7 linked regions of the Canis lupus familiaris genome follow. The protein of the gene in region 2 interacts with the protein of the main gene of each other region in a pairwise test. Links are inferred from orthologs where the notes say so. Each region holds a gene or a part of one and is shown on either strand. Other genes may lie near its edges. The genes, in order: CHRD, MEOX2, FKBP6, PAK1IP1, TCEA2, CSF2 and CNTNAP2.

Region 1 (4,200 bases), on a different chromosome or scaffold from region 2:
GTGTCCCTGTCTTAGGAAAGACAGCTGCTGAACCTCCCCCGCAAATACCTCCTGCTGGCCCCCCTCTTCCTTTGGCCCTGGCTCTAGTTCCTTTGCTTTCCCCTCAGTCCCAGTCTCCTCACAGTCTCTGTCCTCAGGGGCCTCCTGGCCTGACCTTGTTCCCATCACCCCCACCCCAGTTCTTCCCCTCCTCCCAAGGATGGGGCTGTCAGCTAAGGAGTATGGCCTAGATCCCGGAATTCTCCAGTTCAGCCAGACAAGATGCCTCCCAAGATTAGGAAGGAGGGTGCTGGGGTGGTTGGGAGGCTGGTGGGTGGTTGGGAGGCTGGTGGGCAAATGGGTGTGGGAGGGGACAGGGAGGCAGTCATGACCAGGCAACCAAGACAAAGGAGGCTGGGGGTGCGGTGGAGAGGCAGAGGGTCCTCAGGGGTGATGGGAAGAGGGTGAGAAAGGATGTCAGGCTGGGGACAATGATGGTTGGATGGGCCTGCGGACAGGTTACCGACAGGGAAAGAAATACTGGCGCAGACTGAAAGGGGACTCTTTCTGGCTAAGTCCCTGTCCTGTGGAAGAGTAGAGTGAGGAAAGATCTCAGCGAAGAGGTAGGGACACAGGCCAGGCAGTGAGTGTGGGTAGTATGGGGTTTGAGAGGTGCTGTGGGCCCACAGTAGGGGAGATCAGTTGACGGGCCTTTCCTGCACGTTGTCATCCTTAAAAGAGGAGTCTTCATCCTTCCGGCAGGAACCGAGCACTAGCCCAGTGGCCGGCCCAGGCCTCAGGCCCAGCCTCTGCCCCTCCCTGGCCTGGGGCTCCCGTCTTGGGCCGGACACGCACCTCCCGGTGCAGCCGCCCTGTGGCCGCCAGCAGCGGGGGGCTCCAGACCCGCCTCTCCTCCCCTCTTCGCGCCCCCTGGTCCCTCCCCTCCCCCTACCCCCTTGGCTCCCCCTTCCCCTCCAGCCCCTCCCTCCTCCCCTGCCCCGTCCCAGCCCCTCCCTCCCCTCCCCCACTCGCGATCCGGGCCGCTGCTGCTGGGCCGGACCCCCCGGGCTCAGCCCGGCCCCTCGCCGAGCCGCCGCCGCCGCCCCGTTTGCTGAGGAGGAGGCCCCCGGCCGGGGCGCCGGGCGCGGGGCATAAAACGGGCCAGAGCCGGCGCCCAGGGCACTAGAGCCGCGTACGGCCCGGGTCAGCGCCCGCCCGCCCGCGCTCCTCCCGGCCGCTCCTCCCGCCCCGCCCGGCCCGGCGCCGACTCCCGCCGCCCGACGAGCCCCTCGCCGCACTGCCCGGGCCCTGGCCCCGGCCCCCTCCCGCCGTACCGCCCCCGGCCCGGCCCTCCTCCCACCTCCCTCCTCCCTCGCCTGCGCCCTCCTCCCTCCCGCCTCCCCAGCTGTCCCGTTCGCGTCATGCCGAGCCTCCCGGCCCCGCCGGCCCCGCTGCTGCTCCTCGGGCTGCTGCTGCTCGGCTGCCGGCCGGCCCACGGCGCCGGCCCCGAGCCCCCGGCGCTGCCCATCCGGCCCGAGAAGGAGCCGCTGCCCATTCGCGGAGCGGCAGGTAGGTGGGCGCCCCGGGGGGCGCGCGGGCAGAGTCCCGCTCGGGGCAAGTCCGCGCCCGCCCGGAGGGGGCGCCGGGCGCAGGTGGCTCAGCGCGGCGGGCGGCCCGGGGGGGCGGGCGGGGGTCGGGAGGCGCGTGGTGCGGGGGCACCCAGGGCCCGGCCGGCGGTGCCCAGGGCGGGCACGCCGCGGGAGTGGGACAGCGGCCGCCAGCCAAGCCCGTCCCCGCAGGCTGCTCCTTCGGCGGGAAGGTCTATGCCTTGGACGAGACGTGGCACCCGGACCTGGGGGAGCCCTTCGGGGTGATGCGCTGCGTGCTGTGCGCCTGCGAGGCGGTGAGTGGATCCAACTGCCGGGGAGCTGGCCGGGGCCCTGGGGGGTGGGGAGCGCTCGGGTCCGGGATGTCGGAGTGGGCTGGCGCTGCTGAGGAGGAGGAAGCGAGCCTGCAGGTATATACACAAATGTATAATATATATTTTTCTTCTGGCGGAGAAAGTGGGGAGGAAGTGCCCCCTTCAAGTCTCAGGTGTTGACTGTTATTGATCACCCACTATGTGTCAGGCTCTTTGCCAGCGGTTTCCTTGGTCTCTCACTTAACTCCTAGAATAATCCTACTAATTACACACTATTACTGCCCCCATTTTCCAGATAGGGACCTTAAGGCCCAGAGAGGTTAAGTAGTTTGTCTAGGGTCACGCAGCTTGTAAGAAGCAGAGCGGTCCTCACTCCATGGGATGACCTCGCTCTGGTCCTGTGGCCCTCCCCCGCTCGCCCTGGGTCCCACCAACTGGCGTCTTGCACTCACTCGCTTTTCCCATCTTCCCTGCAAGCAGCCTCAGTGGGGTCGCCGCGCCAGGGGCCCGGGCAGGGTCAGCTGCAAGAACATCAAACCCGAGTGCCCAACCCTGGCCTGCGTGCAGCCGCGTCAGCTGCCGGGACACTGCTGCCAGACCTGCCCCCAGGGTAAGACCCGCTCGCAGTGAGGGGAGGACCGCAGGGCAGTGATACTTGGTCCTGCGCCACGCGGCTGGGGCGGACGGAGCAGATGGAACCGCCAGCTGGCTCTCCGAGTGCCCAGCCGAAGCCCGTGTTTCCCTTTTGCCCGGCTTAGAGCGCAGCGGTGCCGAGAGGCAGCCGACGGGCCTGGCCTTCGAGTATCCGCGGGACCCAGAGCACCGCAGCTACAGCGACCGCGGGGAGCCGGGCTCCGAGGATCGGGCGCGTGGAGATGGCTACACGGGTAGGCAGGGGCCAGGCAGCAGCTGGATTCGTGGTTGCGGCCCGGGCTGCCTGCTGTAGCGGGTGACGGTACTCGGGACATCTTTTCCTCGCAGACTTCGTGGCGCTGCTGACGGGGCCGAGGTCGCAGGCCGTGGCTCGGGCCCGAGTCTCTCTGCTGCGCTCTAGCTTGCGTTTCTCCATCTCCTACAGGCTGTGAGAAAGGGGAAGGTGGGAGGAGGGGTCAGCTGGGGACTGGGGAAGGAGAGTTGGGAAAGGCTGATGGAGCTGCTCCTGGACTAGGCTCAGAGCCCATGCTCACACGACCTTCATTCCCAGGCTGGACCGCCCTACTCGAATCCGCTTCTCAGACTCTGCTGGCAGCGTCCTGTTTGAACACCCTGCAGCCCCCACTCAAGATGGCCTGGTGAGATGATGCCATTTATGAGTGCTTATCCAGTCTGGGCATTGTACTGAGAGTGTGTTCTGCATTGCTTCCTTTGGTCCTCACAACAGCCCAGTGAGAGGAAGGCACTGACATTATGATGCCCGTTTTACAGATGAGGGAACTGAGGCTCAGTAGCAGAATGTGATTTGCTCAAGGTCACACAGCTAGTAAGTGGTTGAGCCAGGATTTGGACCCCAGCATCTGGTTCCAAGGCCCCTTCTTGAGCTTCCTAGGAGGGCTTGGGGGCCCCTTCCCATAGTCCTTCCTCACCACAGTTGGGCCTCCCTGCTGGCCCGTGTTGCATGCTGTCTAAGTAGGGCCTTCCTATCTCTCTGCTCCAGGTCTGTGGGGTGTGGCGGGCAGTGCCTCGGTTGTCTCTGCGGCTCCTTAGGGCTGAACAGCTGCACGTGGCACTTGTGACACCCACTCACCCTTCAGGGGAGGTCTGGGGGCCTCTCATCCGACACCGGGCCCTGGCTGCAGGTGAGGGGAGCATATGGGTCCCTGGGTGTGAAGTTCTGAGTCTTCTCTATTCCCAGGAATGGAGTGGGCTGAGGAGGGGACTTTCTGATGGGCTCTCCTGGTCCTCCCTCCCCCAGAGACCTTCAGTGCCATCCTGACCCTAGAAGGCCCCCCCCAGCCTGGCATGGGGGGCATTGCCCTACTCACTCTCAGTGACACAGAGGACTCTTTGCATTTTTTGTTGCTCTTCCGTGGACTGCTGGAATCCAGGAGTGGGGGTAAGTGGGATGGGGCAGGCGTGAGGAGAGTAAGGAGAGCACCTCTCTCTGAGGCATCCACATGCGTGGCCATTGCAGGACCAACCCAGGTTCCCTTGCGGCTCCAGTTTCTACACCAGGGGCAGCTACTGCGAGAGCTGCAGGCCAATGCCTCAGTCCAGGTGAGTGAGGGGCTGGCTCTTGCTGCCCCCTGCTCTGGCCTCTTGCTGCACCCACCATACCTTGCTCTGTCTCCAGGAGCCAGGCT
Region 2 (3,500 bases):
GTTTTCCTTCCTCTGATTGACAGTTGTGTTTTTCAGTTTATGCTAGAAATTCTTTCATATTCATTATAACACATAAACCTGAGTAGAAGCAAGAGAAGTTAGCTTTAATTTCCATTTTGTGACTTAGGGAGATTGTTACTTGCCTAAGAATCCAAATTCCAATGGAAAATCTAGTTGTTCTATTCAAATTTTTATCATAATAATTCAATTTTTCTCACTGTCACATAGTGGCCCTCTGAAGACTTAACTTTGACTAGGAATTTAGATTCCACATGTATGCATCTCCTTTTCATATTAATCTGAAAAACTGGAAATAAAGATTTATAGGATAAAAAAATCTTCACGATATAAAATTTCAATTCTTTCAAAATCCAATTATATCTCAAGATTTGTTTGTTTGTTTTTTCCCCTATGACACTATAGTTAGATCATTTCGGTAACGGCCTCCAGCAAATGTCACCTTCCTTCCATATATCCATTCCTTAAATGGTCTCCTTCTACATTGACACTGTGCTTGGTCATATGACTTGCTTTAGACAATGAGTCATCAGTAAATATGAGATAACGAGAGTCCTTGAAAGCCTTGGTCCATTGGAGTTTTTCTTCTATTCCTGACAATGCTTCTATCCCCATTTGAAAAGTCTCAGAGAGCCTATTAGAAGAAAATGAAACCACATACAACAGAGACAAATGTCCCAGCTGAGACTATTTAAACCAACCAGCTCTTCAAACCCAAACCCGCCACGTGACTACAGCTCTATGGGAGATTTAGGTAAGGTAAGCAGCTTAACCATCCAACTGAGCCCAGTCAAAATCCCCGACCCACAAAACTGTGAGCAAATTGAATGTCGGTTATTAGTTGAAACCACTATGATTTTTGAATGTTTGTTACATAGTCAAGGCTAACTGATAACAAAATTGAAAAGGGACCTTTGATAAACAAAAACAAAGATTAGAATTGTATGTGTGTGTATTTTGCTTAAAATTACATATCATCCTTTTCCATAAATGACAACTCAGGAAGACATATCCAAAATACCTAAAAAATTGCCAGACCAAATTTATAGAATTGCTTTTCTAAAAGAAATTATTTTAAACCATAAGGGAAACTTCTGCTTTATAATCAGATAATCACAGGTAACCAAAGCCATCCCCAGAATAGCAAGCACAGAATCTTCACATTCCCTCTTGGCTAAGAGTATAGTACTGCATCCCATTATTTCTATAGCTTGGAAACAAGTCTTAGCTTGTTTCCTTTTTGTACCATAGAAAACATGGTTGCATTTCCTAGAATTCACTGTCTATGGATAAGAACATTAAAATATGTAATTCTTTCCCTCCCTTCTTTTTTTATCTGCTCCCAGTTTAAAAAAAATGAAAATAAAACAGATGTCCAATAATGTAGATTTTGGATTCTCCTTTCCAGCATGCCAAATGTTGTACACTTATGGAGAGGAGTTTGTCTGTGAAGTTCAAGGGAAAGAAAATGTTGTGCTTCACAACTTAGGCACTAGTCATAATATTTAATAAAATATAAACTGCCAATAAATAAAACCACATAAAAGTGTCTCTCTCTATATTCCCAATCCCCAGAAATACCCTACAAAAGCTGAAATCCAGAAATTAACAGAAGGAAAGCAGATGATTTAAGAAACTGGATAAAATAACTTGCTCTCCTAAGATAGTATTCATACGTCCACACCCTGTTGGTATTTCTTTGGTTCTGATGGGATCCCTGGAGGAGGTGCATACAGTGAAAGGAAATGAGACTCTAGTCCTAGGAGTGCCAATCATAACTGCACTGTCCATAAAGATGTTTGGATTTGCCTTTCAGGAATGTTTTCCTAAAGATTAGCAACTGTTAACCATCAGTAAGCTAGATTCTCCCAGGGCAAATCAGAATCCATAAAAAGAATGCACTGGGAGCACTACTGGAGCAAGTAAAATCCAAGAAAGGACCTTTTAGGTTTTATCAACTGGAGTCCACAGATCGTTCATAATTGCAAAGTGTTCTCTAAATGAGTCAATGTCAGAAATTTAAATTTTTGAGACCAATATCAGTTCAAAAATATTTGGGAAATATTTACGAAAGACCTATGGGCCCTTGCTCCCATCATTTCCCAGCCCCCCTTGAACTTAAGTGGCACCACGGATGATTTCCGGACCTTGGAGTATAAATGGAAGTGACATGGGTCATTTCCGGGTGAAAACATTTAAAGGTCAGTGCATGAACCTCCACCTCTTTCTTACCTCCTGTGGTTACCAAGGACACCACATGTTGAGATGCCAGAGAGTCAGCCTGGGTCCGTGAGTGACTGATTGTTTATAATGCTGAACTTGTAAAGTTAGTATGGAGAGTGAGCAAATAGTGAACTTTTTTGTTATGTCATGGAGGTCCGGGGGTTAATGTGTTACAGCAACATAGCAAACCCTGTCCTGAGCAATAGAGGAAACTAATATGGGGTTGCTGGCTTTCTATTATACCAAAATAAGGAGATTTTAAAATATAAGCAAAAAAGAATTGCTCACTATATGCCATCATTATATACAAGAAATACTATTTTAAACCAAAATATATAGGAAGGACACAAATACAGAATAAAGAATGATACCTTAAACTGAATAAATGTAGTTTTCCTTAAAAACACTGCTATCTTATCCTTAATTTTGCCATTTTGCCGTGCCAAAACTTCATCATGGAACAGAACACCTATCTTACAAATGGCATTTAAGAACCACAGATCTAGATATTTCAAAAATGGCGAGAGAAGATTGTTGACTCAACACAATTAAAAATACCATATCACAACAATGTCCAACTTTACCTGTCTTTCAGTGAGATCCAGATTCACTGCTATCTCATATCGCCTCAGTCTGGTCAGATAATTATGATGGGCAAATTCTGCTTCAAGTTCTCTGATTTGCTCTTTGGTAAAAGCTGTCCTTTCCTTCCTGGGTTTGCTATTGACTTCTGACTTGTAATTTCCTTCCTGGGAATCTGGGGGGAATGTAAGAGAGAATTAAATTGACTTTATTCATTCAAATGCATACAATCATATCATTCATACCAGAAGCATTTACTGAATAACTACTTTTTCAGGTACTATGTTAGATATGGAGAAACAGAGAGCAAAGACAGAAGACTGATCTCACAACAGGATAAGATACATTTCTTACTTTTTCGATCTGCTCTCCTGTGACTCAGCCTAATTGGCAAAGTGTCTAATATTCTTTCAAAATATGAACAAAAAATGTATTTGCTCTTAATATGATAAAAAGATAAATAAATAAACCACCTCTAGAAAACAATTTCGGATGTAAAATTGCGTTTAATAAGTTGTTTAATATGTATACTTGGGATCTAGGTATGATTGAACTCTTTAATTCCTAAGAAAAAAAGTGTTGACTTAATATGTGAATATTTAAGCAATTTGAATGTTTAGCAACTGGACCATAAAAGTCAGTTCAAGGTCAGACAAAGCATACATAAAAGTGTGTGT
Region 3 (3,500 bases), on a different chromosome or scaffold from region 2:
TTAGATTTATTTATTTATTCATGAGAGACAGAGAGAGAGAAGCAGAGACCTAGGCAGAGGGAGAAGCAGGCTCCTCGCAGGGATCCTGATGTGGGACTCGATCCTGGATCCTGTGATAACAACCTCAGCCAAAGGCAGGCATCCAACCACTGAGCCACCCAGGCATCCCAAGAACAGTGGTTTTCAACTGGTGACAAGTAGGGAGGAGTAGCTTAAGAACAAGACCCTTTTTACAAATTACATGGGCCCACCTATTTTAGGATGCTTACTTTGGGGATAGGCAGTGGGGAACAGGGAGATGGGAAATGATCCCGACTTAGTCTGGAGGTCTGCCCCACCTTCTCACTGGGAGCTGTTGGTTTAGCGCTTCATAAAGCCAGCTCTAGGGGGCGCTGCCTCCCAACACATGCTAGGCAACATTTCCAAACCATCCTTTTCCCAGATGGTCACTGGCCTCTTTTTTTGGTTTGCACTTCTGCAAACAGGTCTCACCTAGCCAGTTTCTTCAGTTCATTATTGATATCATGATTGAAGGGTTGTTCCTTCTGGGCTCGCACTAGAAAATCTCGGGCCTTCTCATACTCAGTCATGAAAAGACAGGCCTGCAAAGGACAGAGTTTTAAAAACATACTTGGTTAGGAAAGAGCATTTTTCTAGTGCCCAAGTTGAACATCACTGCTTTCTTTTCTTGGGTGCTTGTTCTCAAGTCCCTGGCCTCCAACACACCTGTCCACACCGGAAGAGGGCCTTAGCATTCTTCTGGTCAATGAGCAGAGCCTGTTCTCCATAGCGCAGAGCCGTGGTGGGTCTCTCCAGCCTCAGGTATGTAAAGGATAGGTTAAGGAGAACAAGAAGCTTAGCTGCTTCCACCAGGTGCTGCTCTTCAGGAGGAGCTGATCGTCGGTGAAGAAGCAACAAGGCCTGTGAAGAAGGAAGACAAATACTCAAGATGAAGTACATAATATTATTGAAAGCCCTAAGAATCCAGAAAAAAAATACTAGAGGTAAAAAACAAAAAACAAAAAACAAAACCAAAACCAAAACTGAGCTCAACAAGTTGCAGGACACAATTTCAATATATGAGAGTTAGTTGCATGTCTCTAATCTAGCAGTAAACAATCCAAAAATGAAGACTACAATTCCATTTACAATAGCATGAAAGGAAGCCACAATAAATTTAAATTGCAAGAATTGTATGTTAAAAACTACAAAATACTGAAGAAATTAAAGATGATCTAAATAAATGGAAATACATCCCCCCCCCAAAAAAAGAAATACATCCCATGTTCATAGATCAAAAGACTTAATATAGTTAAGAAGGCAATAGTCTCCAACTGATCTACAGATTCAAAGCAACCACTACCAAAATTTCAATAGCCTTTTTTGCAGAAATGGTCAAGCTGACCTGAAAACTTGCATGCAAAATCAAGGGATGCCAAATAGCCAAAATATTTAAGAAGAGAAAATGGAAGACTCACACTTTCAAATTTTAAAGCTTATTTACAAACCTATAGTAGCAAAGCCAGTGTGGTAACAGCATAAGGAAACACATAGGTCAATAGAACAGAACTGACAATGCAGATTGAAAATCCAAAACAAACCCATACTTCTGTAGTCAATGGATTTTCAAGAAGGGGACCAGCCCCATTCAACAGGAAAGAGTAGTATTTTCAATGAAAGGTGCTGGGACAACTGGATGTCAACCTGTGAAAGAGTGAGGTTGGATTCCCACTTCAAGCTACATAAAAAGTTAACAAAATGGATCATAGACCTAAATGTAGGAGCTAAACTGTATCACTCTTAAAACATTAGGTTTAAATCTTCATGACTTTGGATTTGATAATGGCTTCTTAGAAATTACATGAAAAGCACAAATCTCCAAAAGGAGATTAAACGGACTTCAAAAGTAAAAACTTTTGTGTTTTGAAGGATGCTATCTGAACACAAATAAAAAAATAAATTTATTATTAAAAAAATGAAGGATGTTATCAAGAAAATGAAAAAAAATGAAGAAAAGTCACTATAACCATCATTTACTGGTTTAAGCTGATAACATAATGGTTTACTACTGTCATTGTCCAAACCTACAGATAATTCTGTATTTTTTAATAAAAAGATATTCTACATTCTTGAAAAGAAAAAAAACATGAAAACACAACTCACAGAATGGGAGAAGATATTTGTAAATCATATTTTAAAAAAACCTAGTATACAGACAATATAAACGAACTTTTATAAGAATAAAAATACAGAAAACCCAATTAAAAATGGGCAAAGGATATGAATTGACATTTTTCCGAAGACACGCAAATAGCTAATCAACACATTAGTTATCAGGAAATGTAAATCAAACTTATGAGATATCGCTTCACACCCACGAGATATGGCTAGAATTTGAAAGATGGAAAATAAGTGTTGGTGAGGTTGTGGAGTAATTGGAACCATCCTACCATTGGTGGCAATGTGAAATGCTGCAGCAACTATGGAAAACGGTTTGGCAGTATTTCAAAAAATTAAACATGACAGTTACTACAGGACCTAGCACTTGTGCTCCTATGTACAAACCCAAGGAAAATGAAAACCTAGGTCTACACAAGAACTTGTACACCAATGTGAAAAGCAACATTAATCATAATAGCCAAAAAGAGGAAAAAATCCAAATGTCCAGTAACTGATGAATGAACAAAACATGGAAGGATCCACATGACATACTGCTCAATCTTAAAATGAAAAATTTGGTATATGCTACATGGATGAAACTTGAAAATGTTATGCTAAGTGAAAGAAGCCAATGACAAAAACAAATACTGTAGGACTCCATTTATATGAATACCCATGGTACACAGACAAATTCCTAGAGGCATGAAGTAGAATAAAGATTACCGGGGCTGAGCAGCCCAGGTGGCTCAGTGGTTTAGCACCGCCTTCAGCCCAGGGTGTGATCCTGGAGACCTGGGATCGAGTCCCACATCAGGCTCCCTGCATGGAGCCTGCTTCTCCCTCTGCCTGTGTCTCTGCGCCCCACTCCCACCATCTCATGAATTTTAAAAAATCTTAAAAAAAAAAAAAAAAAGATTACTGGGGCTGGAGGAAGGGGGAGAATGGGGAGTTTTGTTTAATGGCTAAACAATGTGTGGGATGAGGATAAAGTTCTAAAAAGGGTAGTGGTGATGCCTGTACAACACTGAATGCACTTAATGCCACTGGCCTGTATATCTGAAAATAATTAAAATGATAAATTTTAGGTGATGTTTTTACCAAAATTAAAAGATAAAAAATTTTAAGACAGAATGGAGTATTAATACACATTACAACATGAATGAACCTTGAGAATATTTTGCTAACTGAAAGAAGCCAGGCATGAAGCACGATACATTTGATGATTCTATTTTACATAAAATGTCCAGGAATAGGCAAATCCATAGACACAAAGTAACATAGGGGCTACCAGGGCATGCTGGGGGAATGGAGTGTAACTGCCAACACGTATAGGGTTTCTT
Region 4 (3,500 bases), on a different chromosome or scaffold from region 2:
GAAGTGGGAATAAGTAAAAGAGAGGTCCTGGCAAAGCTCAACATTGTTTAATTTTTTTGTTCCTCTTCAAATATGGTTGATTTCAAGCCCCAAGATTAATAATATTACTGGAAAAATATCTTGTGCAAATCACTAGCCCTGATACCAATATCCCCACTTTTGTACAACTTAAGGCCAAGAAGACAACATTTCCACCATCCTCTCCCCAAAAATATTTATGTAGAAATGTCTATCTCTGCAGTTGTTCATGAGAAAACATGGACACTGTTTTATGAAACTACTGCCTACATTAACACTTAATGAAAACTACACATAGATGCACATAGAGACTGGCAAAGAAAATACCTGTTTTCATGAGCTTTAAATTCACAGACACACGTTAGTGAATCACAGTCAAAAAACCTTACAACTTCTTCATCTCCAGCCACTGCAAGGACAGACTCCTATAAGAGGGAAAAAGAATATCCAGAATGTCATCAACAAGTCCAACCATCACCATATACACTAAAATCCCATCACTGATTTCTGGTCACTTACTGAAAGAAATGTAACAGAAGATATTCTCTTTTCATTTGTGATGGTGCCACTAACAGACGCAGTGTCTAGCTGATAGACATTTATTTTATTCAGGATGACAACTATGTATCTCTCTCCTCTTGGGGACCATTCAACTATGTGAGCATCTGTAAGTTAAAAACACTAAGCTTTTTTAGTTCATAAACAAGAAAAAGAAATGATCAGAGTAATTATTAAAAAAGTAAATGATTGCACTGTGCATTTTCACATCCACTATCCCTTCACAACAAACTTCGGTACATATTTTACAAGTTAAGTTTTAGAAAATGAACTGGATTCAAAGAATCATTAAGTCATAGACCTGGTAGGTGACAGTCATGACGAGAATTCCCATCTAAAATGGGAAAGGAAAGGAGAGCACCTAGGTGGCTCAGTCCTTTCGGCTCAGGTCCTGGGATCGAGTCCCACATCAGGCTCCCTGCTCAGGACAGTCTGCTTCTCCCTCTCCCTGCTGCGTGTACAGACTCTCTCTCTCAAATAAATAAAAACCTCTAAGACAGATAGAAAAATAAATAAATAAAATGGGAAAGGAAAGTAACCTAAATTATTGCCCCAGGAGGTAACCACCATCAAGTAGGGAAATAAAAGTATATGTGGATGTACATACACTCATATTCCATGAAGTTATAAAAAACATTCCAAATAAAAGTACTCACTCTGTTTTATATTTTTTATGAATGCTGATCTTCCTTCCACAAGATTCCATGTTCTGCAAAATAAGCAGCTCACTTACAGATCACTTACACTAGGCGTAAAGGTAAGCATAATGAAGACTTACTCAAACAACAATTGACTACACAGGAAGCTAATTAGAATATGTTTCTTACAGCAACACTGGAAATATTTACTATCAAGCAAGAGTAACTCATCCATTCCCGTACTCTCTAATATATTTAAAATGTTTAACATTATTTTCAAAAGATTTTACCTCCTAAAACATTTGTTTTTAGGACCACCGTCCTCTTCACAGCTTACGATTGGGATATACTATGTACGAGTGAACACAGCCTGTCATTTTTTTCTCTACCGTTGTGAAAAGGTTCAATACCTTTCAGTAGCTGACGGCAATGAGACAAGACAGAAAACGAATCTATTATACTAAAATATACTGATGGTAGCTTCCTGTTGTCCTTAGAGAACAAAGACCACAACTCGGAAAAGATGCTCTCAGCATTAACGACTTACCTTAACGTCTTATCTGTACCCACAGAGAGGGCCAACTTGCCAGACGGATGAATAGAAAGGAAGGTCACGTGTCCTCTAAAAGGAAACCAACAGTTAGACCCCAACTTCACTGGCACCTAGAGACCGCCAGTGGGGAAGGGGCCTGACTCACTTGTGAGCTTTAATCGACTTCAGGCACTCCCACTTCTTTGCATCCCACACACAAATGAGTCCATCTTCTGCCCCACTGATTAAGTGCCTGTTGCCGTAGAATTTCAGGCAAGTTATTGTGCCTGTGGAAAAACCAAGACAGGCAGACTTAATGTTCATTTTGAATGCAAACTCCATTTCTGGTTTGAAGGCTACACTGTGGTAAAAGTAAAACATCTAACGTCTTAATATTACTGAAATATACCTTAAAGTCTTAGGTGAAGAAATTTCTTTTACAAAAACAAACAGGCAAGAACTCCACAAGGAATGAAGAAAAATAGGAACTGTACTTCATCCCCATCCTAGCTCCTTCTCAGTCAGTCCTTTTCCAACTGTGGAACACCTTGCCAGTGGCTTCAGGCAGACCAGGTCTAACTATTTCTTCCACACCCAAGGGGGAGAGAAGACTTTCTTGTGTGAACTGGGATTGGATGAGACAGAATGGAAAAAGAACGCATGTTGAATTCGATCAAAGCCTTGCTTCTGTTGGAAAGGGAAACGCTTGTCAAAGTAGCTAAGGACCTAAGACAGACACTGACTACTCCAAATTCACTGCTAGAACCAATGCGTGGCAGTCTCATCTGGCTTTAATTGCAGGAAGCCAACATGACGGAGTGTCCCCAAGCTAAGGGCACGTCTAACCGGGGCTACGATTTTCAGTTCTTCCTTTCCATTGCCCCTTTCCTGGAACACGTGTTAAGCCTCCATTCTTTGTCCCTGGGGAAATACAGTAAAAACAGCATGGAGTTCAATATTGAAAAAAACACACCTATTCGGCCTACTAGTTGATCCTACCACTACCCTGGACAACTTCACCAGCGCCGAGGAAAACCCAGGCATGACCTGAGCATTACCAACCCCTGACCTCCTCAACTCCAGTGGCCTCGCCTCCCTCTCTGGTTCAGTCCCTGATGCGTACACCCCGGGACATAGTTACCACCTAGAGCTGCTTGCACATCACAACTCGTGAACTCTTACGAACCTCATCCCTGCCCACAACCTCATCTCTCACCAACCCTACCAGGCCCCCTTCACTCACAGTTTACCTGCTTTATTGTTTCAGAGATCTATAGACCATTCAGAGCACCCCCCCCCCACCTTCTGTAGCCCAACAATCTCTTCTTTCACCAAAAATCCTGAATTCCTTTGTAAATCAAGCCTCCTACTACACATACCAAGTACTTTTCTGCTCCCTACAAAAATGTCTGAGCTTAATGCAAACGGATGTTACTCGATTCATAGCCTCCAGCTTCAACAGAGAAGACTCTCATCAGTCTTCTGCTTGCTCTTGCTCAGCATCTCTCTCACATCCTGGGTGCCAGCACGTTGTCAAGCCTGCAGGGCCCCTCCCTCCCATTCAATCCCTAACCTCCTCTTCTCAAGGGCCACCCAGGACCTGGCCCATCTACTTCTCCAGTCACCCCAACCTCCATTTTCACCTTCTCATCATACATATTTACTTGCACACAACGGTTAAAAACATGGGCTCTAGACCTAGGTTTGAGTTCTAGTTCTATTATTTTGTGACCACTGGCAAGTCAAGTTAACAT
Region 5 (2,186 bases), on a different chromosome or scaffold from region 2:
ATATATTCCTCAATCTGGGCCGACAGGCCCTCGCAGTCCGCACCAACGGCCATATGATCATCTGCAAGAAGCAGCCCTGACTAGCTGCCCCCTGACTCCACCACCACTTCCAAACTGCCCAGCACCTGAGGCCCCAAAGACCCCTGCCCCCACCTGGCTCAGCTGCAAGGGCTGGGGGAGGAGGTCCCCGAGAACCCTCTGAGCTCAGGCCGCTGTGGGCAGGCGGAGTCCAGCCCCTGCGGACTCAGGGTGCAGGGCGGCGGGCGGGGGACTCACGGTCTGTCTGCAGGGCGGCGGTCAGCATCTCGCGGCACTTGTTGCGCACGGCGTCACAGGTGACGGGCACGGGGGGAAACGTGGTGATCCTTGGGGCCGACGGCACCCTGGGCAGCTCTGGCCTCTTGCGGCTGGAGAAAGACGGGCCCGCGCGGGCCACGGGCACCCCCGTGACACACCGGTCCCCAGAAAGCCCCAAACCCTGCATCTCCCACCCGGATGCTGCCCATGCTCCTGCCCCGAGGGGACTGCCCAGTGGGCTGGAGGCAGGAACACCCACTGGGCGGGGCGTACCCCCGGATGGGGGCACCACTGGGGCAGCCTCGCCCGCAGGGGCCTCCGCCCTCCAGGCGGCCAGGACCAGGCCATCTCAGGGGAGGCAGGCGGCCCCACCCGGCGTGGATGCCTCCCGACGGGCTGGGCACTGCTGGCAAGCCGCCTGCTGACCAGGCCGCAGGTACCCAGTCCTCCCCTCCCCGCACACCCCTGCGTCTCGTGACCCTGTGACCCCCACACGACGGGGAGCAGGGGCCTCCTGGAGGGAACCTCCGCAGCCGGTAGATGAAGCCCTAGCCCAGCACAAGCACACGCTGCGCGCGGAGCTTGGCCCCTGCTGCCCTGCCACCCCTGCCCACGGCAAAGCAGCCTACGGCCACACCCACCCCGGAGCACCCCCGGAGCACCCCCAGAGCACCCCGTCTCCATGACTGCCTGCCCGGAGCACTGACGGGGAGAGGGTTCAGCCACGCGGGACACCAGCTGAGGGGGCTCGGCCAGAGCGGAATGAGAACCACGCCCAGGAGGTGGAACTGTGGGGTGGCCGTGGGGGCCCCCGGGGCTCTCTGTGCGGCCAGGACCCGCCACCTGCCGAGCAGGAGGGTGTGCACCTGCCCCCCAGATGCGCTACCTGGGATCCTTGGCCTCAGGGGCCTCCTTGGAGGACGATGTGGGCGGAGGCCCGGCCCTCCTCTGCTCCCTGGCTTTGGCATCTGAAGCATCTGCAGGTGCCAGGAAAGGGAGCGCTGGCTAGTGGGGCTGGGCCAGGGAGGGGAACAGATCTCCACCGGCCCCGGGACCTGGCGGTCGAGCCTTGCACACTGGGGCCCCATCCTCCCTCCTCAGAAGGGCCCAGGACAGCCCCCAGGCCCTTTTCTACCCCCGCACAGGCCACCTGTGAGGCCTCCCTGGGGTCTACCGTCCTGGCAGAAAGGACGGCCACCTGCCCAAAGTGACCCTGGTGCAGAGCCCCGAGTGACAGCCCCCCCACAGGCAGCGCTTGAAACCCGGACAAAGCCCAGGTGCGGTCACTCCCCAGCTGGGCCTTGGGGGTCACAGCGAGCGGCCGTCCGCTGAGCACATCCCCCACGAGGCTCCTGAAACCCTGGTCCGCGCTGGGGACCGTCCCACAGGAGGCGAAGCAGCCCCCACACGACCAGAATAAACACGCTTGTGCACACGTGGGCTGACAGCCACCCCGACTAGAGTCCCACGACAAACACCCCATGGGCTTGGACGGAGCCAGGAAGGCGCAGGAAGGGAGGGGACCCCCAGGGCCCCAAGGTGGGCCTGCCCGCAGCCGGCCGTGTCCCCTTCTTCCCCCGCACCCCTCGGCCTCAGCAGGGCCTCCTCACCTGCGCCAGCTCCCTCCAGGCCCCAGCCGCCCTGCTACTACCTTCAACTTCCTTTTCTCCTGCTCCCGGTGGGTCCCCTCTGCTCCCAGCCACCCCCCGCCTTCCCGGACCAGCTTGGGGCCCGGCGGCCCGGGCGCGGGGACGGCACCGCCAGCACCAGCACGCCGCTGACCGGCGAGGGCCAGCACTCCCCGGATGCCCTGCCCGGGCGGTCAGCCCCGCCGCCGGCCCGCACCCAGGAGCTTCTTCCAGGACTTGATGAGCGACTTGGCCAGGGCG
Region 6 (3,973 bases), on a different chromosome or scaffold from region 2:
GACTCAATCCTGGGTCTCCAGGATCACACCCCAGGCTGTAGGCGGCGCTAAACCACTGCACCACCAGGGCTGCCCACAGGCCCAGGTTTCTGAAGGGCACAGGTGTTTTGCCTCACACTAGGGCAGGCCCATTCAGCCAGTGGCCAGCCAAGCCCCAGGAACCCCCAAGCCTTCTCAGGAAGTATGATGGCCTTTTACTGGAGCAAAGTTCCCACTGACCAGGTGCCTTAGACTTCCAAGTGAACCTGAAAGCCTCTTTTTGCAGTTGGAGCCCTGAGTATCCAGGGAAGCAGATCTAGGTGTGTGTGATGCAGCACCCAGGCCAACTCTTCCCATTCATCTGCTCTGCTCTGCCATTGGTGCCTCTCAGACAGTGGCCAACCTGCTAGAGCACCCTGCCCCCTCCCCAACCTTATGGCTCCTCTCCACCCATTGCTCTGTGGGGAGTACCATCAGCATTTGCTCAGGGTTGAAAACAAACTGGAAAGTGTACAAATAAGAACAGGCTTTTAATAATTTATTATAATAGTAAAATGTCTTGAATAAATACAGAGTATGATCTTAAATAAATAAATAAATAAATATTAAAATACATAAATATATAAATAAATATTACTGATCCCTGCCAGTATAAAACATTCCCCGCTCCCCATACCAAGCTGGTATCCGGGCAGCATGGCCCAGAGCAAGTCCATGCCCCCTCTACTGCCCTGGTCCACCCGGTGGTCCCTCAAAGGTGAAGATCCTGAGTTTCAGCAATCCATGGGTAGAAAGGCAGTGACTTGTGAGGTATGAGGTATGCTCTCAGGGCTGGCTTCTGGCTGGACTGGGCTGGCTCCTGGCTGGACTGGTCTGCCTCACTTCTTGACTGGTTTCCAGCAGTCAAAGGGGATGTTAAACAGAAAATCCTTCAGGTTCTCTTTGAAACTTTTGAAGTTAATATTCTGGGTTGCACAGGGAGATTCCTTAAAAAAATAAATAAGAACAATAAAACTTTGAGTCCAGGTGTGAGTGGGTAATGGGGGAGCACCAGGGTTTCTGCACTGCCCCTTAGAACTCAGAGGCCAGAAGGCCTATTTGGAGCCTGCCTGCTGACCTAGGTCAGATGATAGGTTGCCACCCAGTGTCACCCAAAGGGTACACAACTCTGTTAATAGCAGCCAGGCCCTGGGGACTGACAAAATGCCAACCCGAGGCTGGCCTGCTGGGCTGGGCAGTTGGGTCAACACCTCTTTTGCTCTTAGGCCAGCTGTCTAGAAAGGGGAGGAGTTAAGGCCACAAACCTCACTCTCCACAGGAAAGGAGTGTTTGGGGCCTTTGTTCAGTCTGGGTATGACTCCTTCCTTGCCCCATGCAATTAGGCACCTCACAAGGAGCCAGAGAGGTGGCACTTGGGCCCAGGAATATACCCTGGACCTTAGTTTCCTTGGGTTTGCCTCACCTTTGACCTCATTAATGATAGGACAGAAGTGTCTCCCACTAGGGACTGTATAGGCATCTGGAGCTCCATGGCTTTAACTCCCAGGGATGAAAATGGGCAGGGAAGCTTGCTCTGCTAATCATTACAAATTTGCTGACACCAAAACCCTTTGGGGTCTTTAACGGCTACAGCCAAAGGTCCCTCCTTATCCAGTCCTCCACCCTCCTAGACCAAAATTTTTCAGCTTTAGGACCTGACATGGGCACTCACCGGGGTAGGGGGACAGTGCTGCTTATAGTGATTGGCCATCATGGTTAAGGGATTCTTGAGGCTGGTGAGGCTGCCCTGCAGGCCCTCCTTGTACAGCTGTAGGCGGGTCTCCAGGCATGTTGGCCCCTGTGGAGAATGTCCATTCCTTGGTGAGTAGTGGACAGGTGCCCTCTGGTGGGCATATGACACTCTTCCTGTCACTTTTTCCTGTCCTCAGCCCTGTCCCCCAAGAGCAGAACTTGGGAGGGGCACAGGATGATGCTAGGTCCAGTCATACACGCAAAAATGAATCTGCACCATTCAGCTCAGGCCACCCTCAGCTAGCACAACTACATTCCCTGGCATCTCAAGAGGGTCCCAGCCCCCACGAGAGGAGATCCCTATACCCTCACCATTCAGGGAGAAGGTAGCAAGGGTGGGGCATCTCCTCCAACCTGCTATGTGAACAAGGCTTGTTCTTGAAATCTCTGTGCCTCTCTGTAACCAACACTCTGTCTCCACCGAGATTAGTCTCATGAGTCCCCCAAGCTCACAGCCCTGTGTCTTGAAGTAATTCCCACTTCACCTACCTGTCCCCTGGTGACCCCTGGCCCCTTGAATGCTAGGTCTGTCCATGGCTGCTCAGTTAATGAAGGAGTTCACATGACTGCTACAGGCGCAAGGCCAGTGGCCTCCCGAGGCCCCTCTGGACAGCCAGCTGACTGGAGAAAGTGGACTGACCACCCTATGAGAGTCCATGTGAAATGGAGCCACCCCCCCCCTCACCCCCCCACGGTAGAGGTCTCTGGGAAGGCATGTCAGAGAGAAGCATCTTACCTCAGGGTCAAACACTTCAGAGACCACTTTTACTGCTTTATTCTGTAGAAAAACAAAATACCGTTTTATTAAGCTGACAGGCAGGGCCAATCCAGGCACAGACTGCAGTCCCTCCCTCACTCACCATCACAGCAGTCACGTCATTACTGTTGTTCAAAAGGCTCAGGGCTTCCTGGATGGCATCCACGTGCTGAGAGGGCCGAGTGACAAGGGTGGGTGAGCGGGTGGGTGCAGAGATGCTGCAGACCACAGTGCCCAAGAAAAGCAGGTTCTGCAGCCACATCCTCCTGAGGACTTTAGCCTTTCTCTCTGAGTACTGGGCTCACTGGCAAAAGAGCTCTTATATACACAGTTAGAGGAAATGATTAATGGTGACCACAAAACGCCAGAGAGGCGGGGGAACTACCTGACCTGTGGAATCTCCTGGCCCTTATCACACATGGGAACGGTGAGCCTTTCCTCCAGGTGGTCAGGCTCAGGGGTTTTCATTAATGAGCCCTTCCAAGAATTGGCAGTGCATCCGCCTGCCTTGTTGAGCACTCTCCAGCCCTCCCTGGGTAGTTTGGCCAGTGAGGCTGCCCCCTCCCTCTGAGGGGCCTCTGGGCACAGCGTGGACTTCCTGGCCTGGAGTGGCCAGGGAGGGGCCTGGGAGATACTAGATCGAGCTCCTACACCCACGCTCTCCACCCTGCCTCTAATCGCAAGAAATCTTTGGGCTGGCTGTGCCCACCCTGGGGCCCATTCCAACACCAGCCTCCCCTTCTCCTCCTAGATCCCTCTCCTCTGGCCACAGCGAGAGATCTGAGTAGGAAGAAGACATTCACAGGCCTGTACACTGTCCACCTAGGCAGAATCCAGCCAAATGGCATAGTCCTGCGACAGCTCCCAGCAAAGATCCAGAGTAGTGGCAAGCTCTTCCCATCAGGGACCTCTGCTGCATAGCCCCTGTGTGCAGGGAGAATGACAAGTGTGTACATATCACATCCAGCCAGCAGGATTGTAGAGTGTTCCTCATGGTAAGGTCCCATCTGACAGCAATAGTCAGAGTTTTCACAGCTGTGTTCAACCCCCAAGCTGCAGGGGTGAGTTGGGGCTCTCAGTGGGAGTAGTGAGGGCCCTCAGCTCAAGTTCTGGCTCTAGTATCACCTTGCTAAGTGACTCTTCCCCCTGAGCTCTGTGAATCTCACCACTCTCTGTAGTCCAGACCACTCTTGTGAGCTAGGTACCGTGCTCCTATGTGTAGCCCCTGGCTATCCCCCCACCATTCGGGAAAAAGGTAGCAGGGTGGGGCATCCCCCCCCCCCAACCTGGTGGGCACATCTCACAGGTACGAGGAGCTTCGGGGAACAACGGCTTCTCGAACAAGGTCTTCCAAGCTTAATTTTTACATGGCCCCTGCCCCAGCACATCTCCAGGTCAGAGGCCTCTTCTGTGGAACAGGAACTGCTTCTAAAAAAGCCACAGGCT
Region 7 (4,230 bases), on a different chromosome or scaffold from region 2:
AGCGTCTTTCCAGTATGTTCAAATAAGTGCAACTCCCTAAGAGAAAAATATACTCTTTACATATGCGTCCTGTATCTGCACATTTGCAAGAAGAGAGGTGGTATGATTCCATCAGCTCAGCAGCAGCTCATCTGCACTGTCAAGCAATTAGATTCTATTTCTCCTTAATCCTAGAAATGAGCTTTTTAAATTTATTTTAGTCCAGCTATAGAAAACATAGTATTAGCAGTAACACCATTTTTATATGTATTTCAATAATAGAGAAAAAGAAATAAGCCAGAAGCAAATATATATTTAAAATGGTACTGTTGCCAAATGAAAAATATTAACTGCATTTTCTAGAAACGTCCATCATGTTAAAAAGTTATCAAGGGACAGAAAGTTTTAGCACTGTCATATTTTTAAAAATGAGTAGCAAATAAAAACATTACGTTTGGATTTTCATGCTACTTTTTGTCTTGTGATGACCTCTCCTGGTTGAGTTGTTCATTATCTTAGATTCATGTAGTTACCGATTTTTTTCTCCTTTGAGCGTTTTCAGTATTAAGAATATAACTCTCCCTCTTTCTCAGAGTTGTATAAATATAAATACAAATTGTCATTAAGTGTCAAATTATAATTTAAAGTACTGAATTTGTGAAGCTCACTCTAGTCAACAAAGTCCACATCATTCTTATCATTTAATTGATTTCCAGGATGCGGGGCAACTTTGGGTTTTAGTCAGACAATTTAAATTCAAAGGAAACAAAAAGTCATCTCAATTAAGCCATTTTACATATTTAAACAATAAAGAATAAGAGCAAGAGCTAATAAATACATCTTAATCAGACATAAGTGTCAACTACCTTAAAAGTAATACTCTCTGCTCTTCCCCAACATCTAATTCTAACTAAGTTGTAAAAGCTAGGAATATATCTCGGCAACAACTTTTCTATTCTTAAAAAACATTAACCCCGTGGCTGCATGTGTGCCATTCATTCTTGATACATGGCAAATGTTTCAGAGGGATCCATCACATTAATGTATACATAAAGATGCAATATAAAACTCAGGAAAAATCCTGGATATGAGAGCCATTAATCAGTGAATATAATTAATTTATAATCGATTTAATTTCTGAAAAAAAGCGGCAGTTAGTTCTATATGACCAGATCTTGAAATGGAAATCGAAATTTCATCAGATTACTTTTCTCCGGATGTAGTCACATATTTACATAATATTAATACTGAGCACTGTCTTCAAAATTTGTTTAAATATATAAAACCGGAATACATATGTTAATAATGTATCACTTATTTGAGGTTCAGTCCGTTTGTGAAAAAGCTACAAAAATGTTTTTCAAGTCCATTACACACTGCCACTTAGTGACTTCCTATACTGCAAGAAAAGAGAAGCAAATACAATACTTGGGAAAACATGTCAAAACTGCAATAGCGGTTCATCACATGACATTATTGTGGGGTAGATTCTTTAGCACAACTTATCAAGTCCTTTTTCAACGGTTATTCTTATTAATATGTATACCCCGGAACAAGAACATTAATATTAATGTATAGATAAAGATGCATCAATGCATCCCAAGACCTCATCAGCGGAGATAGGACCACACATACAATGAATTCTGGAAAACACTAAACTTTTTTTTTTTTCTAAATGGAAAACACTTCAAACTAAAATCTCCATCGTTATTCTTTAATAAGTAGCTCATTCTCACAGACCAGCACTATGTGCCTGAGATTCCCACGGGCAAGCTCTCTAGGGTTTAACTCTTTCTGAATCAAAGGAGCGATCATGCGTCTCCTCTCTAGATGCACAGGATGCACTTCTGAAGCAACTCAGAAGATGGGCTGGAATCTTCTATTCCTTTCTACTCTTGCTAACCGCATGAAAACATGAGCAACCTTTTCTTTAAAAAGAAAAGGGGGGGGGGGGAGCCTGCTGGAACACAAAGACTTGAATATATTGAACAGCATCCTTTCCCCGAGAACTCTTTAGGGATGCCTTCATGACTACATCCATTCCCCACGGCCTGTTTGCCCTGCCTGCCCCGAGTCCTAGGCTGTGTCACCCCCAAAGTGCCAAAAATCAAAGCAATTTCAGCCAGCACGCTGCATTCACTGTCTTCCCCTTCCAAGAAGCAAGTACTAAGTGGTCATTAACTTTTTGGGGGTGGGCGGGTAAGGGAAGTCCGCGGTGCCCCAACTGCTCCAAATGGTCTCCTCTTGCACCCCCACCCCCGCAACCCGTGCGTCTTGAAGTCAAAACCATATGCAAAAACAAGAAACTTTTTTTTTTTTTTTTTTTTTGCCCCAGCCTTCACTTTCTTGCAGCGACCTACCCGAGCCCAAAGCCCCGAACTCCCTCCAACAACAAACACCCCGAAGTGGAGGAGTAACTCCTAAGAAGCTGTCGCCCGGCCTCGTCACTCCAACCAAGCAGTTGCCAACCCCCCCTTGCACGGCCGGGGACAACTTTCCAGAAGCATCAGCAGCCTCCAGAGCCCTCGCGCCACCGCCCCCCCCCCCCATCCATCCATCCCCGCCCTGCAAGCCCCCCAGCGCCCCGGGGCGCCCCGGGCTTCGGAGCTCCCTGCGGCAGCGGCTGCGAGACGCCGGCGCACGCAGGTGGCGGGCCCGGGAGGACCCCGACGCGGCCCCGGGCGGGCTGGGCGCTCGCGGAGGCTACTTACGGGACGCGGCCGGGGCGGTCCAGGCTCTGCAGAGGATGCTGCCGACGATCCAGAGCGGCAGCGCCGCCCCGCAGCCGGCTCGCGGGCCCGCCGGCATCCTCGGCGGCCGGCGCGCGGCACTCGGGGAGCTCGCTGGGCTCGCTGCGGAGGCGCCGGCCGTGCCCCCGGGGGCTGCTCCGGGCGCTGCTCCGGGGCGGGGCGGGCGACGGCAGGGCCCCTCCCGCGGCGTCCTCTTCCCCCCGCGCCCCTGCAGGCTCCAGCTCGGCCCGGGCCGGGAGCCCGGGGAGGCGCAGGCTGCCTCTTGCCTCCGCGCGGCTGCTGCCTCTCGCTCCGGGAGCCAGTGAAATGCCAGGGGGAAGAAATTCAAACCGCGAAGGGAAGGGAGGGGGAGCGGAGGAGGGGACCTACCCCGCCCTCCCTCCCTCTCTCTCTTGCAGGAGAGAAAAAAATAAAAAATAAAAAATCAGCATAGGACGCGGAGGCAGAGCAGAGGAGCTGGGGATGATGCAGCGGCGCAGGGCGGGCGGGCGGGTCTGAGGGGCTTCCCGGCGCCCCGGGCTCGCGCTCGGCACTCGGCGCTCGGGAGCCGGTGCGCGGGGGGCACGCAGCCCCGCGGGCGGGAGGGGGGAGGCGCAGGGAGGAGGGACGGAGGGCGCACGCTCGGCCTCAGCGCGGCGGCATCGCCCCGGCGCCCGGGCAGCGCAGCAGCGGCCGGAGACGGAGCTGCACACCGAGCTGCAGACGGATCTGCAGACGGAGCTGGAGAGCGAGCTGCACACCGAGCTGCACACCGAGCTGCACACCGAATTGCACACCGAGCTGCAGACGGAGCTGGAGACCGAGCTGCACACCGAGCTGCACACCGAGCTGCAGACAGAGCTGCAGACCGAGCTGGAGACGCCGCCGCCAGCAGCGCCTGCACAGCCGGGCGGCGGGCGAGGCGGGGAAGCCCTCCCTCCTCGCCCCCTCCAAGTCCCCACCCCGGCTCCTCCTCCTCCTCCCCCTCCTCCTCCTCCTCGCCGTACCCCTCCGGCTGTCACCACCCCTCTGCCCTGCGCTCGCGAGCGGGAGCCAGAAGGCACCCACGGGCCCGCGTCCGTGCGCCGGGGCGGGGGGGGGGGGGGCGCCGAGCCAGGGGGCGCGCGCCTTGCCCCGGGCGGGGGGCGGTGCTGAAGTTGGGAATTTGCGGGGTGATCTTGGAGCCCGGCTCCAACCCCGGCCGCCCTCTCCTCACCCCCACCCCCACCCAGCTGCGGGGAAACCGAACCCCTGGGCTCGGAGGCCTGCTCTTTCCCTCCTCCCCTCCCCTGCAGAGGGAGATGGTACAGGCTCCCGGAGCTCGGCCTGCCCCCCGGGAACCAGCACCGGGCGCCCGACAGCAGGTCTTCCGAGTGGTCCTAACACCAAGGGACCGAGCTGAGCATCCCGACCCGAGCGGCGGGGACTGCGGACGCCGCTAATGCAGATGTTTTCAATGTGCAATTAATTCACACTCATGCGTATATGCACACGCACACCAAACACACGCTGCCGCCAGCAA

Evidence for each region.
Region 1: the proteins of MEOX2 (region 2) and CHRD interact in binary tests that used the Homo sapiens proteins (3 or more experiments, as listed by UniProt). The two-hybrid records come from large-scale screens. The link is inferred for Canis lupus familiaris from reciprocal best matches to the Homo sapiens genes MEOX2 and CHRD.
Region 3: the proteins of MEOX2 (region 2) and FKBP6 interact in binary tests that used the Homo sapiens proteins (3 or more experiments, as listed by UniProt). The two-hybrid records come from large-scale screens. The link is inferred for Canis lupus familiaris from reciprocal best matches to the Homo sapiens genes MEOX2 and FKBP6.
Region 4: the proteins of MEOX2 (region 2) and PAK1IP1 interact in a two-hybrid assay, tested with the Homo sapiens proteins (2 studies listed by BioGRID). The two-hybrid records come from large-scale screens. The link is inferred for Canis lupus familiaris from reciprocal best matches to the Homo sapiens genes MEOX2 and PAK1IP1.
Region 5: the proteins of MEOX2 (region 2) and TCEA2 interact in binary tests that used the Homo sapiens proteins (3 or more experiments, as listed by UniProt). The two-hybrid records come from large-scale screens. The link is inferred for Canis lupus familiaris from reciprocal best matches to the Homo sapiens genes MEOX2 and TCEA2.
Region 6: the proteins of MEOX2 (region 2) and CSF2 interact in binary tests that used the Homo sapiens proteins (3 or more experiments, as listed by UniProt). The two-hybrid records come from large-scale screens. The link is inferred for Canis lupus familiaris from reciprocal best matches to the Homo sapiens genes MEOX2 and CSF2.
Region 7: the proteins of MEOX2 (region 2) and CNTNAP2 interact in binary tests that used the Homo sapiens proteins (3 or more experiments, as listed by UniProt). The link is inferred for Canis lupus familiaris from reciprocal best matches to the Homo sapiens genes MEOX2 and CNTNAP2.

Annotation. Positions count from the first base shown.
Region 1 is NC_049255.1:17,423,760-17,427,959, forward strand, and holds the start of CHRD (chordin), read left to right. Parts: upstream 1-1,400; coding exon 1,401-1,548; intron 1,549-1,778; coding exon 1,779-1,882; intron 1,883-2,377; coding exon of another isoform or gene 2,378-2,380; coding exon 2,381-2,510; intron 2,511-2,658; coding exon 2,659-2,787; intron 2,788-2,881; coding exon 2,882-2,981; intron 2,982-3,104; coding exon 3,105-3,192; intron 3,193-3,198; exon of another isoform or gene 3,199-3,380; intron 3,381-3,554; coding exon 3,555-3,696; intron 3,697-3,812; coding exon 3,813-3,953; intron 3,954-4,031; coding exon 4,032-4,114; intron 4,115-4,190; coding exon 4,191-4,200. UniProt on the Homo sapiens protein: Dorsalizing factor. Key developmental protein that dorsalizes early vertebrate embryonic tissues by binding to ventralizing TGF-beta family bone morphogenetic proteins (BMPs) and sequestering them in latent complexes.
Region 2 is NC_049235.1:30,321,203-30,324,702, forward strand, and holds part of MEOX2 (homeobox protein MOX-2), read right to left. Parts: intron 2,999-3,500; coding exon 2,826-2,998; intron 1-2,825. UniProt on the Homo sapiens protein: Mesodermal transcription factor that plays a key role in somitogenesis and somitogenesis and limb muscle differentiation. Required during limb development for normal appendicular muscle formation and for the normal regulation of myogenic genes.
Region 3 is NC_049227.1:6,771,471-6,774,970, forward strand, and holds part of FKBP6 (inactive peptidyl-prolyl cis-trans isomerase FKBP6), read right to left. Parts: intron 922-3,500; coding exon 727-921; intron 603-726; coding exon 493-602; intron 1-492. UniProt on the Homo sapiens protein: Has an essential role in spermatogenesis. It is required to repress transposable elements and prevent their mobilization, which is essential for the germline integrity.
Region 4 is NC_049256.1:11,740,265-11,743,764, reverse strand, and holds part of PAK1IP1 (p21-activated protein kinase-interacting protein 1), read right to left. Parts: intron 2,034-3,500; coding exon 1,913-2,033; intron 1,837-1,912; coding exon 1,762-1,836; intron 1,286-1,761; coding exon 1,233-1,285; intron 684-1,232; coding exon 538-683; intron 444-537; coding exon 346-443; intron 1-345. UniProt on the Homo sapiens protein: Negatively regulates the PAK1 kinase. PAK1 is a member of the PAK kinase family, which has been shown to play a positive role in the regulation of signaling pathways involving MAPK8 and RELA.
Region 5 is NC_049245.1:48,355,514-48,357,699, reverse strand, and holds part of TCEA2 (transcription elongation factor A protein 2), read right to left. Parts: coding exon 2,143-2,186; intron 1,275-2,142; coding exon 1,184-1,274; intron 408-1,183; coding exon 277-407; intron 62-276; coding exon 5-61; intron 1-4. UniProt on the Homo sapiens protein: Necessary for efficient RNA polymerase II transcription elongation past template-encoded arresting sites.
Region 6 is NC_049232.1:20,337,846-20,341,818, reverse strand, and holds CSF2 (granulocyte-macrophage colony-stimulating factor precursor), read right to left. Parts: upstream 2,796-3,973; 5' UTR 2,790-2,795; coding exon 2,631-2,789; intron 2,549-2,630; coding exon 2,507-2,548; intron 1,817-2,506; coding exon 1,691-1,816; intron 966-1,690; coding exon 858-965; 3' UTR 501-857; downstream 1-500. UniProt on the Homo sapiens protein: Cytokine that stimulates the growth and differentiation of hematopoietic precursor cells from various lineages, including granulocytes, macrophages, eosinophils and erythrocytes.
Region 7 is NC_049237.1:3,928,193-3,932,422, forward strand, and holds the start of CNTNAP2 (contactin-associated protein-like 2), read right to left. Parts: upstream 2,801-4,230; 5' UTR 2,788-2,800; coding exon 2,691-2,787; intron 1-2,690. UniProt on the Homo sapiens protein: Required for gap junction formation. Required, with CNTNAP1, for radial and longitudinal organization of myelinated axons.